Linked DNA regions of Nothobranchius furzeri. The protein of the gene in region 2 purifies or fractionates together with the protein of the main gene of each other region. This does not show direct contact. Links are inferred from orthologs where the notes say so. Each region holds a gene or a part of one and is shown on either strand. Other genes may lie near its edges.

The links.
Region 1: the proteins of anapc13 (region 2) and anapc7 purify together in Homo sapiens (affinity purification with mass spectrometry; 3 studies listed by BioGRID and IntAct, counting the BioPlex papers as one, with this or other methods). This does not show direct contact. The link is inferred for Nothobranchius furzeri from reciprocal best matches to the Homo sapiens genes ANAPC13 and ANAPC7.
Region 3: the proteins of anapc13 (region 2) and anapc4 purify together in Homo sapiens (affinity purification with mass spectrometry; 9 studies listed by BioGRID and IntAct, counting the BioPlex papers as one, with this or other methods). This does not show direct contact. The link is inferred for Nothobranchius furzeri from reciprocal best matches to the Homo sapiens genes ANAPC13 and ANAPC4.

Annotation. Positions count from the first base shown.
Region 1 is NC_091757.1:28,335,419-28,339,073, forward strand, and holds part of anapc7 (anaphase-promoting complex subunit 7), read right to left. Parts: intron 177-3,655; coding exon 34-176; intron 1-33. UniProt on the Homo sapiens protein: Component of the anaphase promoting complex/cyclosome (APC/C), a cell cycle-regulated E3 ubiquitin ligase that controls progression through mitosis and the G1 phase of the cell cycle.
Region 2 is NC_091744.1:86,652,578-86,656,986, reverse strand, and holds the start of anapc13 (anaphase-promoting complex subunit 13), read right to left. Parts: upstream 2,868-4,409; 5' UTR 2,667-2,867; coding exon 2,568-2,666; intron 1-2,567. Other genes in the region: pierce1 (piercer of microtubule wall 2 protein), read left to right, coding at 3,820-4,149. UniProt on the Homo sapiens protein: Component of the anaphase promoting complex/cyclosome (APC/C), a cell cycle-regulated E3 ubiquitin ligase that controls progression through mitosis and the G1 phase of the cell cycle.
Region 3 is NC_091748.1:39,292,761-39,295,191, forward strand, and holds part of anapc4 (anaphase-promoting complex subunit 4), read left to right. Parts: intron 1-316; coding exon 317-381; intron 382-496; coding exon 497-539; intron 540-659; coding exon 660-736; intron 737-805; coding exon 806-906; intron 907-983; coding exon 984-1,035; intron 1,036-1,108; coding exon 1,109-1,164; intron 1,165-1,262; coding exon 1,263-1,309; intron 1,310-1,393; coding exon 1,394-1,450; intron 1,451-1,586; coding exon 1,587-1,643; intron 1,644-1,698; exon of another isoform or gene 1,699-1,735; coding exon 1,736-1,829; intron 1,830-1,942; coding exon 1,943-2,040; intron 2,041-2,138; coding exon 2,139-2,200; intron 2,201-2,295; coding exon 2,296-2,334; intron 2,335-2,431. UniProt on the Homo sapiens protein: Component of the anaphase promoting complex/cyclosome (APC/C), a cell cycle-regulated E3 ubiquitin ligase that controls progression through mitosis and the G1 phase of the cell cycle.

The DNA.
Region 1 (3,655 bases), on a different chromosome or scaffold from region 2:
GGTCATAGGCATGAACAGCTGTCTGTGACTTACCTTTGATGAGGTAAGGGTCCAACATCTGCGCTTGTTCAAATTTGAGAATAGCATTCTTAGTGTCCCCGGCTTTAAAATAAACGTCTGCCAGGCTCACCAGGAGGTCCACGTTGTCCCGCAGAAGGGATTTCTTTTCCAGGGAACTGAAGAAAAATGTGTTTGTTTCATTTTAAAGGAACGAGAATTAAGAAGCAAATTCAGTCCCTGAAGCCATGGAAATGTGTAGTCTGGTTGTTTTTAAAACCGAACATCATCCCCGCCCATCTAGGGAAAACCCTGGATCCACTCCGCAGCTAGGGATGTCCTTTCTCACTTCTGATACGATACCGGTATTGACTGATACCAATCCGACTTGATAACAGCACATATCACACATACTTTTACCTATTTCATAGTGTGGAACGTATGAAAGGCTTGATCGTGAGATATTACTCAATCGGAGAACAAGAGCCAGCAACAGTGAGTATGAAAGAAATTACTATTTTTTTAACCATTGGTTTCATAAACGTAAACCTTAAACATAACGTGTAACAAATGAATAAAAAAAGAAATAAATTAAAAGACTGAAAAATATTTTAAGTAAACACATAAACTAAAGATATATTTTTAAAGTACAAAATACTAATTCAGGGTCACTTCAGTTATGTTTTAGTGTCAGCAAATGGTGGGAAGAGTTGGGGCAGGAACATCAGGAAAAAAAAACCCACATTTTACCAACTGCTACAAGTTGAGTGTCCAAAGTTTCAACGGTGAAAATTCTCATGCAGTGTTTTGTGATGCTGCTTCAAACGTGCAATGAGGTATTAAACTTTGCTGGTCCTGTTCCACCATGGGAAACTTGTGCATGGCAAATGTTGCACTGAGTTACACCGTCTTCTGTGGACTTTAACAAACACGACTGCCGCACAGTTGCCATTGCTCCCTGCTACTTTGCTAGCATGCACGCTCTGACCACGCTGACTTTGCATGCTGGATCTGGGAGCTGCTGGATAGAATTGCTGGAAGGAAATTTAAAGTGAAACGGACGGCTTATGTCGGAGATTTTTCATGCAGTCCAATATAATCTGATAGTGTTTTTGGGCTGATATCGATATCGGAACAGGACGTCCCTAGTTACAGCAAAAAAAGTCCATTACATTCATAGGAATGCTAAGCCTGTAGATGGTAGTAGTCCCGCCTCCCCAAGAAAAAAAAAACATTGTTTGGATGAAGAATAATTAGGTGGTGGACAATAGCTGTCCTGTTGACTTTTGCCTGTGGTCTTCTACATAGAGCAGCATTTGAGCTTTTTAAAACAAACGAGTGTAAACGCAAGTCACACTTGTGATGTCAGTCATTTAGTAGGGAGCAGTGACACTGCAAAGCCTAAAACTCTAAAGCCTGGTTCAGGCTTCTCCGTCAGCTCCGCAAGGGACAGACACGCACGGATTGACGGAAGCGTTTTGCTCTCATACTTCTCCGTCTCCTGGGGAGTGTTGCAAAGCAATTCCCCAGCAGGACAACAGAGGGCGTAGCGCTGTTCTGTGGTATCCTGTCATGTATCGGTCCAAGATAGTGCGTTTATATTGTGTTTTTTGTGTATATAAGAGACTTTTAACACAGACATATTTGTCTCTCATTCTCCCACCTCTTCATGCGCTCCCCACCTCTAAACCCACGTTTCCTGTCATTTCTGTCCACAAATAAAACACTTGCTGCGCATCTTTTCACTCCTCCAGTCACGGGAGAATTAAACGTTCATATTTTTAGTGTTTTCGCGAGGTATTCTTCAAGCTGCTCCGTGTCTGTTGCTAGTTCTCCTCAGCTCTCTTTGCAATGGCGGCACTGTAAACAACAGCGGCGTCCTGACCAATCACAAGCTTGCGTTGCCCGCCTCGACTGACGGATGTTTAGAAAAGAGAGCTCAACTCAATCCGTCCTTGCGGAGCTCTCCGGCAGGCCCACAAGGACGGATAATGGCGTTGCGTGTCTCCGCACTGACGCAGACGGAGGAGCATGAATCAGGCTTAAGTCTACAAGCGTATGCTGACAACACAGAATCCCCAGATCTCCACTTTGGTCAGAGTTTTTGAAATAATAATTTAGGCTACGTTTACAATGCAGGTCTTGATGCTCAATTCTGAATTTTTGAGTAAATCTGATTATTTTGTGTGGCTGTTCACATTATGACTGAAATGCGACACCGAACACTGTCCAGTGTGAACGGGTCACGGCACCAAAGCGACCTCCATGCACAAAAGAAGTCACACACAGTGGAGTCGGAACCAGGGGTGACGGTGGCACGAGTCAAGTGCTCGCCCCGTAATCGGAAGGTTGCAAGTTCGAACCCCTCTCAGTTTGGCGCCGTCGTTGTGTCCTTGGGCAAGACACTTACACCCCCTTGTCTGCTGGTGGTGGTCGGAGGGACCGGTGGCGCCTGTGTACGGCACTAGAGCTGAAACGATTCCTCGAGTACCTCGAATAATTCGAGTACAAAAAATCCTCGAGTCAAATTCTCTGCCTCGAGGATTCGTTTAATTCATATTTAATTAATTCATGGCTTTGCAAACGCACGGGGTCATGTTTCACCCGGACCGAAATAAGTGACGCACATGCCCACTGGACTGATTGCACACGCGAGTAGCGAATATAACTTAACTTTCTCTTAAGCCATGGCGGACAACTTGTACCCCGGTGGAGTGAGAAAAAGACAGAAAATGTCAAAGTTGTGGAACCATTTTTCACGTCGTAAGGTGGAAAACGTAGTCCAGTGTAAATACTGTAACAACATGGATTTAGCCTACTACAACACCACATCCTCCGTGCTGCAGCACCTGTAAATGTCACTTCTGCAAGGGAACTCGGAGCCTCTACAAGATAATGCTTTTTAGCCTGTATTTCTATATATTCTGCAGGCACTGTGCGACTTTTTCGTTTGTAGCACTCAGTTTCAGCTCACACCGTACATCTGGTAGCAACACGTCGGACTTAAAATGTGCTAAAAATAGCAGTTTTTACACAACACGTCGGACTTTTTATTGTGTTATTGATGTCCGTTGTCCCTCGGGGTTTCTGCAGGAGGACACGGGTATTTATGAGTGGCGGAGGAAAACGAAAGAAAGTAAATAAATGTTTTGTGATCAGTATAATTTGACAAAACCACAGCAAACATGCTTTCTCGACAATCCTTGTTAGTGTGAGAAAAAAAAGTGTAGAAATTAAAACGGACGTGTGTTAATAGGGAAACAGCTGGCGAGCTGTTTGCGCCGTGAGCGGTTCTGGTTCTGTTTGGGCCGAAGCCGCTCGCAGCGTTATCCTCCTAGTTATTGTCTGGCTTGCAGGCTAGCAGATTCTCACACGAGGGGAAAATCAGCTCAGGTTGTTTACTTATTTTTTGCACAGGCATTTGTTTACTGTGAAGTAAAGTTGAAGTGCTGAAGTTATGCAAACTAATTTTGAATAAAACTTGAAGAATAACTGGCAATTGCTTGCTCATTTTAAGAGGTCTTTCATAATTATAACATGCTATTTGATATCAAATCAAATCACTTTTATTGTCACATCACATGTGCAGGTACACTGGTACAGTACATGCGAGTGAAATTCTTGTGTGCGAGCTTCACAGCAACAGAGTTGTGCAAAA
Region 2 (4,409 bases):
CACTGCTAGGGGGAGTTGGTTCCAGAGAGGAGGCACACAGATTGAGAACGCTCGTTCTCCTTGCGTCTTCACCCAAACACTCGGGACCTGTAACAGGCGGTGGTCTGCTGATTGAAGAATTCGACCAGGTACGTAAGGCTGAACCATCGATATATATATATATATATATATATATATATATATATATATATATATATATATATATATATATATATATATATATGGACAATGAGTTTCCATAGGCTCCAATTAAAAGTTTTTGTGCCAAAATGGGAGGTGGCCACCACCGCCATTTTGACCGTGTCACAGGTTCCGTCAAGCCCAGACAATTCCACAAAAGGGAAGAGAGGCGGAGCTGAGGGTGGGGCTGTAAGGCTGGGATCAACTGACGACACCCGGTCAAACTGAAGCTAATGTAGCTACAAGCTAACCTGAAGCTAACCCAAAGCCAACGCGGAGGTGGGAGCTAAGCTAACGAAGGTAGCAATCTAGCTACAACCGGAGTTGAACTGGGCTGAACCAGCTGAGTCAAGTAGAGAGGCACATAAAGATAGTGACTTAAAAACAAGAAGTAAAATTTTAAACTGGGAGCCAGTGCAGCTGGGTCAGAACAGGAGTAATGTGCTCCCTCCTTCTGGTGTCCGTCAAAGGGCAGGCCGCCATATTCCACACCAGCTGTAGGCGCACAACCGAGGAAGACGTGGATCCATAAAAAGGGGAATTTGCATAATCCAAGCGAGAGACCACAAATGCATGGATCACTGTGTGCAGGTCGTGTCTAGTCAGGATGGACTTCCATCTTTGATAGCCGATGAAGCTGGAAAAAGTAGGATCTAACCACCTGGCTAATGTGGGAGTCCATCTGCAGCTCCGGGTCAAAAACCATCCCCAGGTTAGTGATGGTTGGCTTCACTAAGCTGCGAAAACAGGGTGGTAGGACAGGACTAACTGAAGTGGGAGAGGGAGGAACAAACAAGAGAGCTTCCAACTTAGACTCGTTCAGATGTAAAAGGTTATTATAAAGCCAGCCATTCACCTCATTCAGGCAATCCACAGCCAGCTGCACTGACTCTTGAGGTTTTAATGAAACATAAAAACACCAGAGGGAAGAGAGGAGGTTTCAGAGGCAAAATCCCCCAGCCTCACACAAAAACTTCTGTTGCTGAGGTACGATCTGAACCAGTTTAGGGCAGTTCCCTGGATGCCCACTACCTGGTTCAGTCGGGACAGAAGTATAGCATGGTCTACGGTGTCAAAAGCAGCTGTGAGATCCAGAAACACCAGTAGAACATGGGAGCCGGAATCAGTGGACCACAGAACATCATTAAAAACTAAGAAGGGCAGTCTCAGTACTATGACCGGGACGGAACCCGGATTGCAAAGGGTCTAAAAGGTTAAAAGTCTGCAAATGGTCAGAGAGCTGTGTAAAAACATCTTTCTCAAGAAGCTTAGATAAAAATGGAAGCTTCCAGGGAGGTGGAGTCCAAACCAGCTTTCTTCAAAACTGGTTGGACCACTGCCTGTTTGAAAGCCTGGGGGATAACTCCAGGGGCTTGTCTCACAAAACTCAGAGCTGCTCTTGTCCTCTGAATGGATTAAATTATGATATACTTCTATAAAATAAATGCTTTAAATATTATTAATGAGGGCTGTGCAGTGGTTAGAGCTGTTGCCTTGCAGCAAGAAGGTCCTGGGTTCGCTTCCCGGCCTGGGATCTTTCTGCATGGAGTTTGCATGTTCTCCCTGTGCATGCGTGGGTTCTCTCCGGATTCCTCCCACAGTCCAAAAACATGACTGTTAGGTTGATTGGTCTGTCCAAGTTGTCCTTAGGTGTGTATGTGTGTGTGTGTGCATGATTTTTTGTCCTGTGTGTCTCTGTGTTGCCCTGCGATGGACTGGCTCTCTGTCCAGGGTGTACCCCGCCTAATTGCCCGTTGACCGCTGGAGATAGGCACCAGCCCCCCCGCGACCCTACGTGGACAAAGCGGGTTCAGAAGATGGATGGATATTATTAATGACACATTGGGCACTTTTCTGGGCTGATCAGTGACATCACTCACTGCCAAAGCAGTCGTGACCCGCTGACGTCTGTGCAAGTTCTGAAAGGGCTGAATCTGAATGGAGACACAACAGCTGAGAGGACTGGGACATCCTATCTCCTGGTCAAGTTCCCCATCCCAGGAACTACCCTGGAGTTCTGGTAATGGAAACATGCCTATTGTGACATCATATGGTGCCAGCTGACATCATAGGGTACCTCTTAGCCAATAGCGATAGCAGATTTAAAATTACCTGAAGAGGGTGTAACACTGACAGTTCTGGGCAGAATATTTAAATTTTAACTAAGATGCTCTAAAATGCCAAATTATTGACTACATGTGTCTACAGCTTGATTAGACACTTATTTATGTATTTTATCAGCAAAAAGAAATTGATTTGGGGGTGACTTGCTCTTTTTTATAATTCACAAATGATTTATTTTGAACTTCGGAATGGTCATTTGAGGGATACGTTACCATTTGTTTAACCACACTGTATTTTAATGCAAACACGTTTAACGTTTTTACCAAGGGGATGGTGACATCCTCATACGGTAGTTTGTCTTCTCTCCAGGCATCATCAGTCAGATCCAGGACTCTCCCGTCTCGTTGAATTTCACTGTCCATTTCAGGTTCAGCAGCTGAAACAGCTCTCAACAAAAACCCACTCAACCTCGCAGGGAAAGCTGAAGTTCATCGAAATAAAAGAAGAGAGCAGCGGTAAATAATTTCGATAGAATATACACTTAGAGGAGACGCTACGCTTAGCTCACAGTAAACAGACGCTTAATTTAGACGTAGGCGTCGACGCTTGATGATGACGACACAACGATACCTTCAGGTGCAGTGGAGAGTTTCTGAATTTTTTTACAAAGCCAACAAAGTTCTATATTTTGACCAGCAATTTAATTCAGTCTGATTTATTCAATGTTGTTGTTTATCAATAAACCACTCTGTTATAAAAGTAAAAAGCAATCAAAACTAAAAAAGATGAACGATTCCGTTTCCTTCGTCTAAGTGGTTTCCATGGAAACCAGACGCATCGTTTTTCTTGACCCACGGAAGAGCTGGCGACTGGCGAGGCCTGATCAAAACAGCGCGGACATTTTTGCGGTATTTGTGTATTTTAAGGTAATTAGTATAACAATGTACGCAAACAGCGGAGGCCCTAGTAAGCCTCAGACGCATCTAGTTATGTATGTATCCAATAATCCTGTAAAAATCCCTAGCCGACTACTTCAAAACAGGAAATGTTAGCTAAACGTATTTGTCTGTGGGTGCGTGCGTGTGTGTGTGTGTGTGCGTGCGTGTGTGTGTGTGTGTGTGTGTGTGTGTGTGTGTGTGTGTGTGTGTGTGTGTGTGTGTGTGTGTGTGTGTGTGCGCGCGTGTGCGGTATTAAAGATGTGGTTTATTTGTCCTCAGATTTTAAATGTCACTAAATAATACTGTTTGCAAAAAGCACTCACATAGCCAAAATTTTAAAAAGCTAATAATAATGCAAGCTGTTTATAATTTAACAATATAATTTTAATATTAATTTTATATATTAATAATAATTTTGTACTTTTTCTAAGCAAACACACACACACACACACACACAAATATATATATATATATATATATATATATATATATATATATATATATATATATATATATATATATATATATATATATATATATATATATATATGTAACTACTGAAGTTGACTTCAGCAGGATTGGTCCTGTAGGGGTTGAGTGTTGTAAACTTTTCTTTTACTTTGCAGACACTCCAGTGATGTCCCTGTCACAAGAGCAGCAGACAGAAATCACAGAACTATGCACTAGCCCTGGAAACCCAGCAGTCTCTTCCATTACCACCTCGGCAACTAGAAGCATGAAATCAGCAACAAACCCAAACATTGGAAGGATCCTGTACAGGACGACTTCAAGTGCCTATGGCAGTTTCCCTCCGACCCCTGAAAGCTCACCTCACTCCTACCACCCAAAGTCTCACAGATTTACTAAGGAACAAAGCAGAGGAGGGATGTACCAAGATAATTCTTTGAATACGGCCCTTGACCGGAGCAGGGTGCATGACTGTCCCAGTTTACATTACACCCTCTGAATTTATATTTGACTTCATTTAAATGATTTAAATGGATAAATAAAAATTGGATGATTTGCAGCTTTTCCTTCAGCTACTGTATGTAAACACATATTTCATTGGCTTATGTAGGGATTGAGTTTATTAAACGTAATACTTCAGTCTCCACTAATGGCGTATTTCGTCTTGTATTCTTTAAGGAATCAATCAATCAATCAATCAATCAATCAATCAAACTTTATTTCAGACAAGGGATATGTCCATAACAAGAATACAATAAA
Region 3 (2,431 bases), on a different chromosome or scaffold from region 2:
GTTGCAGATTTGCCTACCTGGTTACTCCACACACGTGTTTCATGAGCATTTTTTAACTCCGAAGTTCCCCTGAAGGACTTAGTTGTTCGTCCTTTTATCGAAACTCATTTTGAGCCTGAGAGGGTTAAGAGTTCAACACTTGAGGGAGGAAGACAGAGCAGCTTTTTCTAGCTATGCTGCAAACATACGGTCTGACTAAAAGCAGCTGTAGCATGAGGTGTGAGAGAGTTGCTACTAAAAGAGATTTTTGTTTGCTCAGATTAATCTGGCAGAAAACACAGACCGTCACTACATATCCAGTCTCCTGTTTTTGCAGGAAAAGAACACAAGTACCCAAGTCCAAGATGAGTTTTTGGAGCTCCTGTTGTGGGGACAGTCGAGGTTAGGAACGTGTTTCTGTTGTAATGCCTAGCGTCCAGCAGATGGGAGCAGTTCATCAGGAGTTGGTTTCAGGGTTTTGTTATTGAGTTTTTCTTCTCGTCTGCTCTGTTTCCAGTCCTGAACTACAGGCTCTCCTCATGAACCAGCTGACTGTCAAGGTCAGATAAGATCAACTTATTTAATTCAGAGATGTGTTCATTAAACGCTGAGGAGTTTCAGATCTAATCAAGGGATTTATATTAAAATCAGTTATTTTGTGTGTTACAATGCCCTCCTAGGGTCTGAAGAAGCTCGGTCAGTCTATTGAGTCTTCCTACTCCAGCATCCAGAAGCTTGTGATCAGCCACCTGCAGAGGTATTTTATCATAGCATCTAAATGCTACCTCGTTTGTTTTTATTTGTAATCGTTCTGTGTTTTCTCCAGCGGCTCTGAGGCTCTGTTGTATCACCTCAGCGAGGTGAGGGGAATGTCCCTGTGGAAGCAGAAGTTTGAGCCTCTCGGTTTGGATTCAGGAGCTATTGATGGTAGAAGTCAAATAAATAAAAGTCCTAACTATTCATATTGGCCTTTTGTTGTTAGTAAAGGTGTTTTTGTTTTGCAGGTGCAATCACGGCTGTGGGCTCGTTCTCTCTCAAAGCCAATGAGCTGCTGCAGTAAGCTTGCGACCTTAAACGTGAGTCATTTCAAAGTGTTTCCACAAAATGCGTCCTTTATTTTGTCTTTTAGGGTGATTGACAAGAGTATGAAAAACTTCAAAGCGTTTTTTCGATGGCTGTATGTAGGTGAGAATGAAGTTTTTTAGTTGCAGTTACTGCATATGATTTAGTTTGAGTGTTTTCGGTTTTATTTATGTGCTCACGCTGTGTTTTGCCTCATGAAGCAATGCTACGAATGTGTGACGAGCATGTGCCCCCAGAGCTGAATAAGGTGGGATTTAATGGGAGACGAGGGGCTGTGGGGCTTCATGAAGTGGCTGTACAGTTTCATTGTGCTGTTTGGTTTCCTCCTCAGATGACTCAGAAGGACATCGCCTTTGTTGCTGACTTCTTGTCTGAACATTTTAGTGAGGTGAGGCGAGTTCATGAGTGGTGCTTGCTTGTTGTCATGCTGTTTATAAACTTGCTTGATAAATAAATGTGGTGCGGAATAGTATCAGTAGTATTTATTTAGTAGAGATTTTAAACCTGATTTCACTGTTTAACAGAACGAGGAACTCTTTAATCGTAAGGGGAAATACTTCAACGTAGAGCGAGTTGGTCAGGTGAGGGCTTTTGTTACTGAACAGTTTAGAAAACATATCAACATTATCTTCTTACCTTGTGGTGGTTTGTCTTTGTTTTGGACGCTTTACAGTACCTGAAGGATGAAGATGAGGACCTGGTGTCTCCTCCCAACACAAAGGGTAACCAGTGGCTCAGGTTTTTACAGGAGAGCACACACCTGAAAGGTAAGTGATGATTTTGAGTTTAGGTGCCTAATTGAACTTTTGCAGAAGGTAAAATGTTTTATTTGGCGTTTTATTTTGTGGGATACAAAAATAACGAAATCCTTCCTCTTTAGAGAGTCCTCTGCTGTTCCCATCATATCCTCAGAAGTCCCTGCACTTCGTCAAGAGGATGATGGAGAATGTGATTGAACACTGCCTCCAGAAGCCTGCTGTAAGTGTTTGTGTGCCGTTTCTTTTCTCGTCAGTACGAACAAGCATCCCGTCGGCTCTGCAACACTATCACTCTTAAATATGTTGCCTTGTTTGCAGGAAGTAATTGGAAAATCTGTCAAACAAGCAGTCTTCCTTCCTTTGTACGCCATTTCAGAGAAGTAATGTCCCATTTGTCTTTTTATTGTCATTGTTTAACATAGTTAAAATTTAAAAGGAAATGTAATTAATTTGATGAATTTTTTTTCTCCTTTAGGCCAGAAAACACTCCACGACTGTTTGAGCTTCCATCTTTGTGCGTGAAACCCAAACACGTCAGAGCTTTGTTTCTGTAATAACAAGATTGGTGTTTGTATTCATGGTTTAAAAAACATTTTTGTGTGTGAACACAC